2 linked regions of the Stegostoma tigrinum genome follow. The protein of the gene in region 2 purifies or fractionates together with the protein of the main gene of each other region. This does not show direct contact. Links are inferred from orthologs where the notes say so. Each region holds a gene or a part of one and is shown on either strand. Other genes may lie near its edges.

Region 1 (7,186 bases), on a different chromosome or scaffold from region 2:
AACTGGCAATCAACAGGTCCAGGGAGTGGCTTATAGTACCTGACTGTCTGCCCCTCTTCTGTGGTTATGTCCATGTTTGGTTGTCCACCAAGAGAAGGCATGTGGTGACCACTGGCATGGTGGAGGCCCTTACAGACCAGTGGGCACCTAGGGGTTGGAGTATATCATCACCCTGGTAATGATATTTTGATTTGCTTTTGATAAGATTCCATTTCTGATCTGTAAGTTGACCGATTATCTTGTTTGTGTTATAGTGCTCAACCAGGGGCAGTCTAACCTGTTTAAGTTGCTTTAAAAGTATACTGGTTATGCAAATGAGCTAAAATTTGGCAGTTGGCAGAGCCGAATATTATTTAAATGAAAAAGACTGCAGAAAATTACTATGACTTGCAAGTCTTAGAGTCTTGCAGCATTGAAACAGACCCTTCAGTCCAACCAGTCCATGCCGACCATGTTACCAAACTAAGCTAGTCCAACCTGCCTGTGCTTAGACCACTTCCCTCCAAACCTTTCCTATTCATGAACTTATCTAAATGTCCTTTAAACATTGTAACAGTACCAGCATCCACCACTTTCTCTAAGAGTTCATTCCACATATGAACTACTCTGTGTAAAAATGTTGCTCCTCATGTCCTTTTTAAATCTTTTTTCTCTCGCCTTGAAAATATGCCCCCTAGTTTTTAACTCCTCCACCTCTGGAAAAGACAATTTTCTTTCACAAATCCTTTTGCACAAATCACAAAAAAGCTAGCATACAAGATAGTAGGGAAGCCAGATGAAGTGTTGGCCTTAATTTCAAAGAGAATGGAGTATAAAATAGAGACATCTTTCCAAAACTATACAAGGCAGTAGTCATACCACACCTGGAACGCTGTAATATATTTTGACCCCATTATCTACTGAAAAAAGACATTGGAGGCACTCCAGAGAATGATCACTAGGTTAATCCTGGATATGGAGGCACTTCCTTGTGAGGAGAGGTTGAGGAGGGACTGTACTCATTGGAATTTTGAAGAATGTGAGGCAATCTTATTAAAACATACAAAATTCTTAGGGCCTGGACAGGGTAGATTCAGAAAGATTATTTCCCCTTTTGGAAGAGTCTGGAGTCAGAAGGCATAATCTCAGAATAAGGGGTCATCATTTAAAACAGAGATGGGCAGGAATTTCTTCTCTCAGATTGTAGTTAATTTGTGGAATTCTTTACCGTAGAGAGCAATAGAGGCCGAAAACAGTTAAGTATATTCAAGACAGAGATAAATAGATTTTTAACCAATAACGGAATCAACTGTTCTGGGGAAAAGGCAGGAAATATTGAGGATTATCAGATCAATCATATCTCATTGAATATTAGAGCAGACTTGAGCTGAAAGGTCTGTTTCTCCCTCATGTCTTATTGACTGATATAATAAGAGGGATACAAAGAGTCTGCAAAGTGAATGGTTAAGGAATTGGTAGATGGAACTATAATATGAGAAAAATGTAAGGTTGTATACTTTGGCAGGAAGAATAGAAATGCAGAACATTATTTAACTGAGAGAAGCTCCAATAAAGAGAGATTAGAATTTCTTTGAACCTGAATTGCAAAAGGTTAGTGTGTAAGTCGGGTAAGTAATTAGAATGTAAATTTTATGTTGAAATTTGGCATTGTTAGAAGTTGCCTAAGTCCTATAGTTAATTACATTTCAGTGGTGATTATCAGAATTTGAATTTCTCTTAATGTTAGTTATTTTCCAGAACAATAGTAGAAAATATAGATGTTGCTACTTCTCATTTCAAGTTTTGTCAGATATTGTACGGAACACGGAAATCTCCAGGTAATATTTAAGGTTTTAGCAAAGATTTGTAGCTTGGACTGTGGGTGAGGTTGTTGACTTGCTTGTCGAGCTGGCTTGTTTTCATTCAGATGTTTTGATACTTTGCTCGGTAATATCATCAGTGAGGCCTCAGATGAAGTGATGTTGTTCTACTCCGCTTGCAATTTACACAGTCTGGCCTGTTATAGTGAGTAGTGCCATTTCTGGTTTTGTTCTGTATGGGGCCCAATTCTATATGTTTGTTGTATGTGTCTATGTTTGGCTTGGCTACTACGGTTATGTTGTCCCAGTTTAGTCTGGCATGGTGATGGAATGGCTGAATGAAAACTTGGGCTTGGGAGGCAAGTCAACAACCTCACCCAGGGTAATATCACTTAACTATTTGAGATTGCCCAGATTATGCTTTTTTGTTTGTAATGTAAATTGCTGAATAGTTAAACCATCAGGACATCTATTGCGTCAAGTCTAATATTGTGGCTGTAAGAGCTGTTCCTTTTTTGAGGTATTTTCAGTGTTGGAGCTCATTTCCTCAAATTCTATGAGCAATAATTACTGTTTTAAAAGCTGCTGACATGATCTATATGAACTTCGGTAAGGCATTTGACATGGTTCCTCATGGTAGACTGGTTAGCAAGGTTAGATCACATGGAATAGAGGGAGAACTACTTATTTGGATACAGGATTGGCTCAAAGGTAGAAGACAGCGTGGTGGTGGAGGGTTGCCTTACAGACTGGAAGGCTATGATTGAGTGCTGGCTCCACTGCTTTTTGTCATTTATATAAATAATTTGGATGGGAACATAGAAGATATGAGTTAGTAAATTTGCAGATTACGCCAAAATTGGAGGTTTAGTGGACAGCGAAGAAGGTTACCTCAGAGTACAGCAGGATCTTGATCGATGGGCCAATAGGCCAAGAAGCATTTTGGAAAGACAATTCAGGGCAAGATTTGTACACTTAATGGTAAGGCCCTGTGGAGTGTTGCTGAACAAAAAGACCTTGGAGTGCAATTTTGTAGTTCCTTGAAAGTGGAGTAGGTGGATAGGATAGTGAAGAAGGCATTTTGGTATGCTTGCCTTTATTGGTCAGTGCATTGAGTTTGGGAGTTGGGTGGTCATGTGACAGCTGTATAGGACATTGGTTAGGCCAATTTTGGAATACTGCATGCAATTCTGGTCTCCCTGCTATAGGAAGGATGTTGTGAAATTTGAAATGGTTCAGAAAAGATTTACAAGGATGTTGCCAGGGTTGGAGTGTTTGAGCTAGAGGGAAGGGCTGAACAGACTGGGGCTATTTTCTGTCAGTGACCTTTTGAGGTTTATAAAATCATAAGACCATAAGACATAGGAGTGGAAGTAAGGCCATTCGGCCCATCAAATCCACTCCCCATTTAAATCATGGCTGATGATGAAGGGCATAGATAGGGTGAATAGCCAAGATCTTTTCCCCAGGGCAGAGGAGTCCAAAACTAGAGGGCATTGGTTTCAGGTGAGAGGGGAATGATATGAAAGGGACCTAAGAGACAACATTTTCATGTAGAGGGTGGTGTGTGTATGGAATGAGCTGCCAGATGAATTGTGGAGGCTGGTACAATTACAACATTTAAAAGGCATCTGGATCGGTATATGAATAGGCACGGTTTAGAGGGATATGGTCAAATACTGGCAAATGGGACTACACTAGTTTAGGATATCTGATTGGCATGGGCGAGTTGGATTGAAGGATCTGTTTACATACTGCATATCTCTATGACTCCATGGAGGTTGGGCAAGGAACCTGCTTCAACATACATTCTGGGTTATTTTGTCTCAAAGAACTACACCACCAAAAGGCTTAATACCAGTATTTAGTGGCCCCTTCTTTTATTTATTTATTTTTTAATTTAACTGTTATTTTGAAATATTTTGACACTTCTGAAATTTTTCATTTTTCCAATAAATTCCAATATTTTCCCCAGAAACATAGTAAAATTCTGATTCTATTTATCTATTACTTTAGAAATTGAGATAACAATGTGTGGGGATGGATGAACACAGCAGGCCAAGCAGCATCTTTTGGGTTATTTTTGTCTCTAACAACAAACTAACTGCCTGCATGAATTACAGACAAAACAAGTTGGAAAACATGGAACTACGAAAATCCAGAACAAACGCTGATCATATTTAAATTTCGCGCGCTGTTCCCGCGCCCCCAGCCGCTGCCAAGGCAACAGATTGTTATTCGCAAGAGCCAACCATAGGACGGGACGCCGAAGCCGATCGACCAATCGGAATGGAGCTGAGGAAGCCAGTGGATGGGGGCTGGCCCATGCCTTCTTGTCGGTTGAGCGCGTTTCCGGCAGGGACCGGTGGGAAACCTCCTCGACCCCAGCCCGAAGGGTCTCGCTCACACTCACTCAGTCACACACACGCTGTTTCACGCGTCGAGACAGGGACGTGAGTGTGTCAGTGGCTGAGTCTGCACTGTTCACTCAACTCCATCCCGTACATCGATGCTCGTTATCGCTCGCTTCGTATTGAAAAAATGCCGTCCCGCCTGGAAGATTATGAGCTGCTGGAAAGCATCGGCTCCGGTTCTTACGGCAGGTGTCAGAAGATCAGACGGAAGTCGGACGGAAAGGTGAGCTCCCATCTAAATAAACACGAGCATTTCAACTGCGTTTTGTTCATCTCATTGGCGCGAGCTGTTTTGTAGGGTGCCAGAGCAAATTTGAAAACACACTGGAATGGTTTCAGTTTACACAGGTTCGACCGAGAGGCGCAGGGCAGCTGCAGATTCTGATCCCCACCTCCCCGCACCCCAATGCTAGAGGTCTCATCAAATGATCTTCCCTCTGATCTCATCGCATGCCCTGACTAGTTAAGGACACCTAATTTCACTATTCGGTTTCTGTTATTCGTGGGAGCAGAAATAGGTCATTCATCCCATCGAGTCTGTTCTGCCATCCAAGGCGATTATGGAATCCTCAATCCCACATTCCTGCCTTTTCCACATAATCTTTGATTCCTTAACTGATTAACAACCCATCTCAGCCTTGAATATACTTAATGGCCCATTGCGACCGCCCTCTGGTGAAGAATTCGTCTCCCTCTGACGAAAATTTCTCCTTGTCAGAAATGGGTGACCCCTTGATATTATTACCTGGCTCTGGGCTCTCCCACAAGGAAAAGTGACATCCCCATATCAACCCCTCTGTGAACCTTGCATGTTTCAATCAAGTCTCCTTGTTAGAGTAATTGAATTGGAAACAGATCCGTTAGTTCAACTCATTCATGCTGAACAGATATCCTAAATTAATCTAGTCCCATTTCCCAGCATTTGGCCCATATCCCTCTAAACCCTTCCGTATCAAATACGTAATCCTGGAAATCCAGATGTATTACATTTACAGGATCCCCATTATCCAGACTGGTTCTACTGATTCAAAGAACTCTAACAAAATAATTAAACCAGATTTACTTTTCATAAAACCATGTTGATTCTGATGGATTGGGTTTTGATTTTTCAAATGTCCTTTTATTACTTTCTTAGTAATGGATTCTGACAATTCCCCAATGACAAGTGGTTTAGTAATTGATGTGTAATTTCTTACTTTTTCTGTTTCCCTCTCTTGGTTAAAGAAAAGGGAATTGTATTAATATTTTTCCACTCCATTGGAACCTTTTCTGCATCCAGAGAATTTCAGAATGTTATAACCAATGGATCCACTGCTGCACACACTATAAGACGATAGGATGTAGGCTATTAGGTCCTAGAATTTGACTGCCGTCAATTCCATTTGTTTGCGAAGTAATTTGATGTTCTAAGTTGCTACCTTCCTATAATCTCTGCATTACCTGTTAGAAGCTCATTTTCCCTCATCAACCATTGTTTCTATTGTTGCTAAATTGAAATTTTCAAGGGTGCAAGATTAAGAAGGGTGATGCTGGTCTATTAGATAATAAATCATAAAAAAGGATTGAACAGTGCTGAAGAGATAGTAAGAATTGCCGGTGCTGCAGTCAGAGATAACACACTGTGGAGCTGGGGGTACACAACAGGCTAGGTAGCATCAGAGGAGCAGGAAAGTTGACATTTTGGGTCTGGACCCTTCTTCAGAAATGGGGGAGTCTGACTGAGAATAAAGCTTCCTTCCAAAGGCATCCGAAGATTGTAGCTAAAGGAGTATCTTAACAGATAAAAGAACAGATTGGCTTCCCAAACAAATCCACAAGGTTCATTTCTGAAGAAGGGTCCAACCTGAAATGTCAACTTTATTGCTCCTTTGATCCTGCCTGGCCTGCTGTGTTGAACATCTTTTTGTAAGTTACTTGACCTTAAAATTATTAAAAGGTTTGATGGGATAAATGTCGGGAATGTTCTGTTTCTGGAGTAAGACCCAAATTAGGGACTGTGAATTTAAGATTGTTACCCATAAACTTAGTAACAAATTGGAAGTTTCTTTAGTTTGGTTAAAATGCAGAAAGTGCACAAAATCATTGTGATAAATAGATACCACGGGAAAATCAGGTAAACACCTGAGGAAATGATGTTTGGATTGGTTGAAGTAGTGTATGAGTAATGTTCCATCTAAGTTGCATGTATATGGCTGCTTTGGTCCACGCATGGTGATGGTGTGCTAAGACCTCTGAGGCCCATGAGGAAGAAAATAAAATAATCAGGAATGCTGAGTGTGAGGTTGCTTCTAAAGCAAGATGTTTGGCAATGTGACATGTCTCTTTCAAAAAAAAGATGTGCTTATTCTCCAGCATCTGCAGTTCCCATCAGCTCTTTCAAAGAGCTGGCATGTACATGACGTGCTTCAGAAACTCAGGTGTTCTGGCATCAACTGTGCAGATAATGTTTTAAATCTGTTGACTCTTGAAATGGAAGAGAGGAGGAAAATTAGTGTATTTTATGATGTTGAAAAGTAGGAAGGACAAGTGAATCAGAAGGGGAGATCAGGGAAAGATTAAAGGAGATTGTGAGATTAAAGGCATCACGGAACAAGATAACGGGAGCAGCATAGTTTTAGAGAAGGTCGCATTGTTCAGAGTACAGGTGGGCAACCACCTACAAACTGATGCCCACCGACTCCCACAGCTACCTGGAATACACCACCTTCCTGCAAAAATTCCATCCCCTATTTCCAATTCCTTCGCCTCTGCTGCATCTGCTCCCAGGACGAGGCATTTCACTCCTGCTCGTCCCAGATGTCCTCCGTCTTGAAGGGCCACACCCCCCCCCGCAGTGGTCGAGAACGTCTTGCCCGCACCCCGCCCTCGCAATAACAGCCCGAAGAGAATCTCCCTGGTCCTCTCATTCCACCCCACCAACCTCCAGATACAATGCATCATCCTCCGACACTTCTGCCGTCTACAATCCGACCC
Region 2 (7,151 bases):
AATAGCTGAACTTGATAATTTTTTTATGATTCATGCACGAGGACTCCTAAAATGCTCTGTGCTGCAGCTTTCTGTAGTCTTTCCTCATTCAAATAATATTCTTTTCTTCCTGCCCAAGCATGTAGCCTCACATTTTCCCACATTATATTCCAACTGTCAAATGTTTGCCTACTCACAACTTGTCTATATCCCCCTTGCATCGTTGTCCCCTGTAATTTACTCACCTAGCTTGGACAAAGCAAATAAACTCATGTTAGAAAATCAATACATTTCTTCAGTGTGTTCAGGGCAGTTGTTTTACAACAATATGCACTAGAACCAACAAGCAGGCAGGCCATATTAGTTTAATAAATGAACCAGATATTCATTAAGAGCCTAATGGTGCAGGAACATTTACCAAAAGTGATTGTGGAATCTATGGTTTCCCTTTCTCAGCCAAAATTTATTTCCTTTGTAATGTCTCTCCTCTCTTTGCTCACCAGAGTTCATCTTGTTCGTAAGAGCCATCTTGTACTCCCACAGCCCTATTCCCACTATATTACTGACCACCAACTTTCCTTCCTTGCTCACACATTAACTAAAACCACTAATGGTTCTATCTCTTCTGGTTCTGACCCTCTCTCCTTCAAATGTGCCATCATATTTCCCTCATCAAAAAAATACCTTTAATTCCCGCTGCTTGCAAACTGCTGCCCTATCTCTGACCATCCCCATTCCAAAATCCTTTGAAGTGTTTGTGGCATCTCAAATCTGTGCCCATCTTTTCCAAAACTTGAATCCTTCCAATCAACACTGCAATGGCTCTTATTCAAGTCACAAACAACACCTTCTGTGATCACACCACAGGTAAACTATCTTTCTTCATCCTGGCTGTGGCTTTCAACATGGTAGCCATCTTCCTCCAATTACTTTCCTTTGTTGTCCAGTGGGTGAGAGTAGACTGGCCTGATCCCATTCTTATTGCATCATAGCCAGGGAAACCATTGGCAATGACTTCTTTCCATTCCTACAGTGATCTCAGATGTCCCCCAGAGATCTATCTTTGGCCCCCTTCTATTTTTCACTGTACACTGTCCCTTGGCAATCAGTTTCACATCTATCTCACTACTACCTTACTTGAACCCTTCACTGTCTTGACTTTGCCTTCTTGCTACTCTGACACCCAAGATTAAATGGAAGCAGCGATATTGTGCTCCTGAGATGCTGCTTGGCCTGCTGTGTTCATCCAGCTTCACCCTTTGTTATCTTGAACTCTTGCAGCAACTTGGTTTTACTGCCGTCTCTGTTGCAATGTCTGACTCCATTACTACTTCAGCTCTTCTGCCGCTGAAACCCTATCCATGCTTGTTATCTTCAGACTTGACTATTGTAATGCATTCCTCGCTGCTCTCCCACATTCTAAACACTGAATTTGAGGTAACTGAAGTCTCTGATGCCTGCAGTCTAACGTACAGCATTCACCAATCCCTCTTGTACTAGCTGACCCACACAGACTACTAGTTAAACAATACCTTTATTATAGAAAATCTTCATTATTGTTTTCAAATCCCTCCACAGCCTGGACCCTCCTGACGTTCATAACCTTTTCCAATTCTGAGACCTCCAAAATATCACTGCACGTCTAATACAGTTTCAATATCCCTAATTTTAAATCATTCTGAAGAGGACAGGCAGGAATTTTTTAAAAAAAAGGTTCTTCAGGGTAGTAATGTGATAATGGGAACTGCAGATGCTGGAGAATCCAAGACAACAAAGTGCGGAGCTGGATGAACACAGCAGGCCAAGCAGCATCTCAGGAGCACAAAAGCTGACATTTCAGGCCTAGACCCTCCATCAGAGAGCATCCTCTCTGATGAAGGGTCTAGGCCCAAAATGTCAGCTTTTGTGCTCCTGAGATGCTGCTTGGCCTGCTGTGTTCATCCAGCTCCGCACTTTGTTATCTTCAGGGTAGTAATATCTGGAATACTTCCAGTGCCATGAGCTAGTGAGGATAGGAATAGAAGGATACAGCAGATAAATGTATGGCTGAGGAGCTGGTGATGGAGAGGATCCACAATTTTGGATCACTGGAATCTCTTCTAGGGTACAAGTGACCTGCATAAGGATGGATTGCAGCTGAATTGGAAAGGGCCTAATACTCTGCTGGGGAGATTTGCTAGATTTCCTAGGGAGATAGTGAGAAAAGAGGACAGTCCCCAAAACTGGTAGAGATGGGAAAAGGAACAGGTCAGACAGTCAGGAACAAAGCAGAAAACGAGCTATTACGGATGAATTAAACTGCATTTATTTCAATGCAGGAGGCCTAACAGATAACGCAGATGAACTGAGGGCATGGTTGGGAACATGGGACTGGGATATCATAGCAACTATAGAGACGTGGCTCAGGGATGGACAGGGCAGGATGCTTAATGCTCCAATGTATAGATGCTCTAGGAAGGATATAAAGCGTGTGCAGGGGATGGGGGTGCGAGCAAGTGGCAGCAGTATGGGGGGGGTGGGCACTGGGTGTGAGTGCCTGTGCCAGGGTGGGGGTGGTGGGAGTAAGTGCAGGGGGTGTGCAAGTGGCAGGGGTGCATGTGGGGTGTGGGGGTGTGGGGTATGTGTTGGGGGGTGGGGGAATGTGGTGTGTGTGGTGGTGGTGGGGGGGGGGTTGGTGGTGGGGAGGGGGGGGTTGGTGGTGGTGTGGTTCGGGTCTCCTGCCGCCTGACTGAAGTGATTTCCAGGTCCCTTTGTCGGTGCCGTGTCCAGGCGATGGTGGGTCTGGCTCTGGAGGCGGACGGTGAGGCCCAGGCCCAGGCCTAGGCCCCGCTGAGGTTCTGTCGGAGCGAACCTGGCGCCAGCCCTGGCCAAACTCCTGTCACCTTGACACTCACCTCCAACTCCTTCTTCATACTCTCAAACTCCTCAATATCGTCCAGCTTCAGTTCGAGCCGAGTAGGCTTCCTCCGCAACATTCTGCCGCTAGAAGTCACGTCCAACTTGGTCGCTTCAGACCTTACAGGCGACACCTGGCGTCACCACGGCATGGCACACTGGGACATGTAGTTTCTGAGCCGGCGGCGTGGAAATGACTACAACACCCAGCAGCCTGTGCGCCGCCTCCTTACCCTTTGCCCCGGACGCAGTCAGTGTCGGCTTAACGACGGTATAGGAGCTGGTAAGAGGCCGCGCTGAGGCTGGGGGAAGGAGAGATAGAGACAGGAGATAGCCTAAAGCTAGGCCTTGGCTATTGCCGTCAACTCCCCGTCCTTAACCGGGCCTTTATATTGTCAGGTTGGGGAGAAGTCGGTCATTGTGGCTGCTTGTGGGGGAGGGGAGGCTGTACTGTATCAGAAATCACACACAATGCTCTACTTGTGGCTCATAACTTTATTCAACTTCACCGTAAATCCCCTGCTTTTTCCATCAACATTTCTATTTAGGGAGTTCATAACTCCCATGTGCTTGGTTAATCACGCCCTGTGTATGCTGCCACCTGAAGAGTTTAGTGCACGTTGGCACCAAGTCCTCTCCCCTCCCCGTCTCTCTGCGCGCTCTTTAGCACTGAGTCATTAAGTATCTATTTCCTTCTCCCAAACCGTTCTTCCAAAATGAATCGCTTGTTAAATCCCAATCTGCCGGCCTACAATTCTCCGACTGGTAGTTAGAATCATAGAATTCGTACCGTGTGCCAGCATTCGGCCCATCGAGTCCACACCGAGCATCCCTCCCGTATCATCCCCATCTCCCATGGCTAACCCACCTAACCGGAACATCCCTGATGGGCAATTTAGCACCCACCCACCCTACACCTCTTTGGAGTAGGAGGCAGCCAGAACACCCGGAAGAAACCCGTGTAGACACAGGGAGAACGTGCAATCTCCACAAACTCGGGACCCTGGCGCTGAGAGACAGTGCTACCCTGTGCAATTGGTAACATTGTTATCTTTAGTACTGTTTCTAAGTTTGGTATCATTGACAAATTTGGAAATGTTAGTCTTTCAATATTCAAATAACATTTAAAAACCCAAGCAAAATATCTATAATATACCTACAAATTAATCTTTTATAAGATGGGTATGATGACCCTCAAGTTCACCTTAATGTCAACATCTGCTTTTACTTTTGAAATATGTTCAGCTTTGCCACTCAGACCAAAGTGGATAATTTCACATTTCCATCTTCTGCTGTAAGGAACAAGAGATCATCTGATGAGTGATAATGGAAACTGCAGATGCTGGAGAATCCAAGATAACAAAGTGTGAAGCTGGATGAACACACTGTGTTCATCCAGCTTCACACTTTTTTATAAGAGATCATCTGATACTTGTTTGTTATCTGTAGTTAGGAATAGAAGTAGATCATTCACTCCTTTGAGCCCTATTGCACTTACTATTCATTTAGATATTTTTTAATCAATGTATTCAGACATGCTATGGCTAATCTGTACCTCAACTCCAAGATCTACCTTTGCTCAACTTTTCTTGGTACTTTGACAATATAATGATCTTATTAATTCAATAGCTCAAATTGCCCTAAGGTGCATTGCTTTTGATTTGGGGAGACAGTTCCAAATTTTCTGTGATCCTTTTTCTCATCTGCCAGAGCCTTTCTTGATTTTATTCCATGGATGCTTCTGTTGTCTTTGATTCTCTCTCATTTCCTGCTTGTTCCTGTGAAGCTCCAAAAGCATGATCCAAAGATTCTCTCTCCTGGGCTAGAAATCAACACTCGTTCAGTTCTTCCTGTTCCAACTTCTTTCCCAAGGCATCAAAAACCAGAATTCCTATGAGCAACACCCCAATTTAAGCATGCAGATGCATGTACTTGGAGATTAGAGCTAGAGTCAAACAACCTGTCTTTCTCATCTCTTATCTCTGGTCAAAACGGTTTGTTAATTTTATGCATTTTCTACACCCACAGTTTCCTGCCCCATATTACAAGAATGTCTGATGATGATGATGTTCCGTTGCCTAAGAAATCTCGGATTTATTATGGAAGCCTTGAAGAGAAGGAGAAAGAGAGGATTTCCAAAGGAGATGCAGGATACCTGGGGAAAGAAGCTGTGAAAGCTGGGGTAGAAGCTGGACATATTAATATATCCAGCAGTAAGTGATGATGCTTCAGTTTCTTTAACTGTGTCATTGAATAATTACTCCATCTGATTGAGTCAAAAAATGTGGAGCTGCTGAAAAGATTGCTGAGAAATTTTAGAAAGCTGGTTGGGAACAATAGCAATAAGTAACAATTTTAGATGAATTGGGCTTTATTTTGGATGCAAAAGTGCAGAAAGTCTATAACGTTTGAAACACTTCTGGAAATGGCAACAGTTGTAATTAAGAAATTTATGTGCAACAAGTTCACACAAATAGCTAAGTGACGATGGCCTGATAGTCTGATCTTATAAGGTTAAATGATTTTCTGGATACCGTAGAAATATGCTGTATGTTGACTCTTCAGTGGGGATGCAAGGAAGTCCAAGTTAATGCCCAATACCTGCAAATAATGAATGTACAGTTAACAGATTTTCAAAAGAAATTGCATTGAAAATATTCAGGCTGTTCAAAGCAAATGTTGAGAGCATTTTATAGATCTCTTATCTGTGTGAAGTTGCGTATGTGACAACAATTATTGACAGTATTAATCCCTTACCCTACACAACGTGCGAATGGCTGAAATCAAAAAATACACAGCAAAGCTTTGCATTTCAAAATCCCACATTCTCTGAGACTGCTAACAATTTCTTTGCACATGCATTTCGTTTTCTGAAACAGTTGATGATTTACATCCATCCACTTAAGTTTAGAAGTCTTTTTTTCGCCTCTAGCATTTGTTTCAAACCAGCAAGGTCAGTTCAGAACCACTCTGTCACATTTTGTATCCCGTTGTGAACCATTGTCTACGTAACATTCTCTGGGTATACCATTTTCAGGAGTCTTATTGCACAGTATCTGCTTAAAATATTGAAGAAATAGAATCCGATATCCACAGCCTCCATAAAAACCAGTGTTTAAGCAGCCAGTGTACTTTTATAAACACAGGTATAGGAGTAGGCAATTCAGGACCTTGAGCTTGTTCCACGCTCTGAGAGATCATGTCTGATAGAACACAGAACATAGAAAAGTACTGCACAGTACAGGCCGTTCGGCCCACGATGTTGTGCCGTGGAATATTCCTAATCCAAAATTAAAATGACATAACCTACATTCCCCTCAATTCACTGCTGTCCATGTGCATGTCCGGCAGTCGCTTAAATGTCACTAATGACTCTGCTTCCACGACTACCACTGGTAAACTATTCCATGCGCTCACAACTCTCTGAGTGAAGAACCTCCCTCTGACGTCTCCTCTATACCTTCCTCCCAACACCTTAAAACTATGACCCCTCGTGGCAGTCAGTCCTGCCCTGGGTAAAAGTCTCTGGCTATCGACTGTATCCATGCCTCTCATTACCTTGTACACCTCGATCAGGTCACCTCTCTTCCTCCTTCTCTCCAGAGAGAAAAGTCTGAGCTCAGTCAACCTCTCCTCATAAGACAAGCCCTCCAGTCCAGGCAGCATCCTAGTAAACCTACTTTGCACCCTCTCCAAAGCCTCCACATCTTTCCTATAATAGGGCAACCAGAACTGGACACTATATTCCAAGTGTGGTCTCACCAGGGTTTTGCAGAGCTGCAGCATAACCTCACGGCTCTTAAACCAGATCCCCCTGTTAATGAAAGCCAAAACACCATATGCTTTCTTAACAACCTTATCCACCTGGGTGGCAACTTTGAGGGAGCTATGCACTTGAAATCTGCGTGACTTAACTCCATATACCTGCCTTTGGCCCATATCCTTTAATGCCTTTGCTTAACAAAAATGTATCTATCTTAGATTTAAAATGAACAACACATCCAACTGCCCTTTTAACAATTATTTTCAGTTTCTTAGCCTCCCAAGCAGAAAGGAAATGGTTTCTTTTCTTACCCTTAAGAAATATTAAGAATTCATCTGTTCCGGAATACCCTCTAGGAAAGCTAACAAGTGAAACATTGCTAAAATGACTAGTTTCATGTGTTTTGGGTCACCCACGAATAGAGAATGTCAACTTAGGTATGCATTTCACCTGAGTTAATTTTTAAAAATGTTTCATTTACCTTTAAGACATTCTCATCTTCAGGATGTTTCAT

What was found. The genes of interacting proteins can lie anywhere in the genome.
Region 1: the proteins of cdc26 (region 2) and nek2 purify together in Homo sapiens (affinity purification with mass spectrometry; 3 studies listed by BioGRID and IntAct, with this or other methods). This does not show direct contact. The link is inferred for Stegostoma tigrinum from reciprocal best matches to the Homo sapiens genes CDC26 and NEK2.

Annotation. Positions count from the first base shown.
Region 1 is NC_081362.1:54,385,261-54,392,446, reverse strand, and holds the start of nek2 (serine/threonine-protein kinase Nek2), read left to right. Parts: upstream 1-4,127; 5' UTR 4,128-4,340; coding exon 4,341-4,436; intron 4,437-7,186. UniProt on the Homo sapiens protein: Protein kinase which is involved in the control of centrosome separation and bipolar spindle formation in mitotic cells and chromatin condensation in meiotic cells.
Region 2 is NC_081382.1:5,537,454-5,544,604, reverse strand, and holds the start of cdc26 (anaphase-promoting complex subunit CDC26), read right to left. Parts: upstream 3,032-7,151; 5' UTR 2,955-3,031; coding exon 2,874-2,954; intron 1-2,873. Other genes in the region: prpf4 (U4/U6 small nuclear ribonucleoprotein Prp4), read left to right, coding at 3,761-3,912, 4,903-5,087. UniProt on the Homo sapiens protein: Component of the anaphase promoting complex/cyclosome (APC/C), a cell cycle-regulated E3 ubiquitin ligase that controls progression through mitosis and the G1 phase of the cell cycle.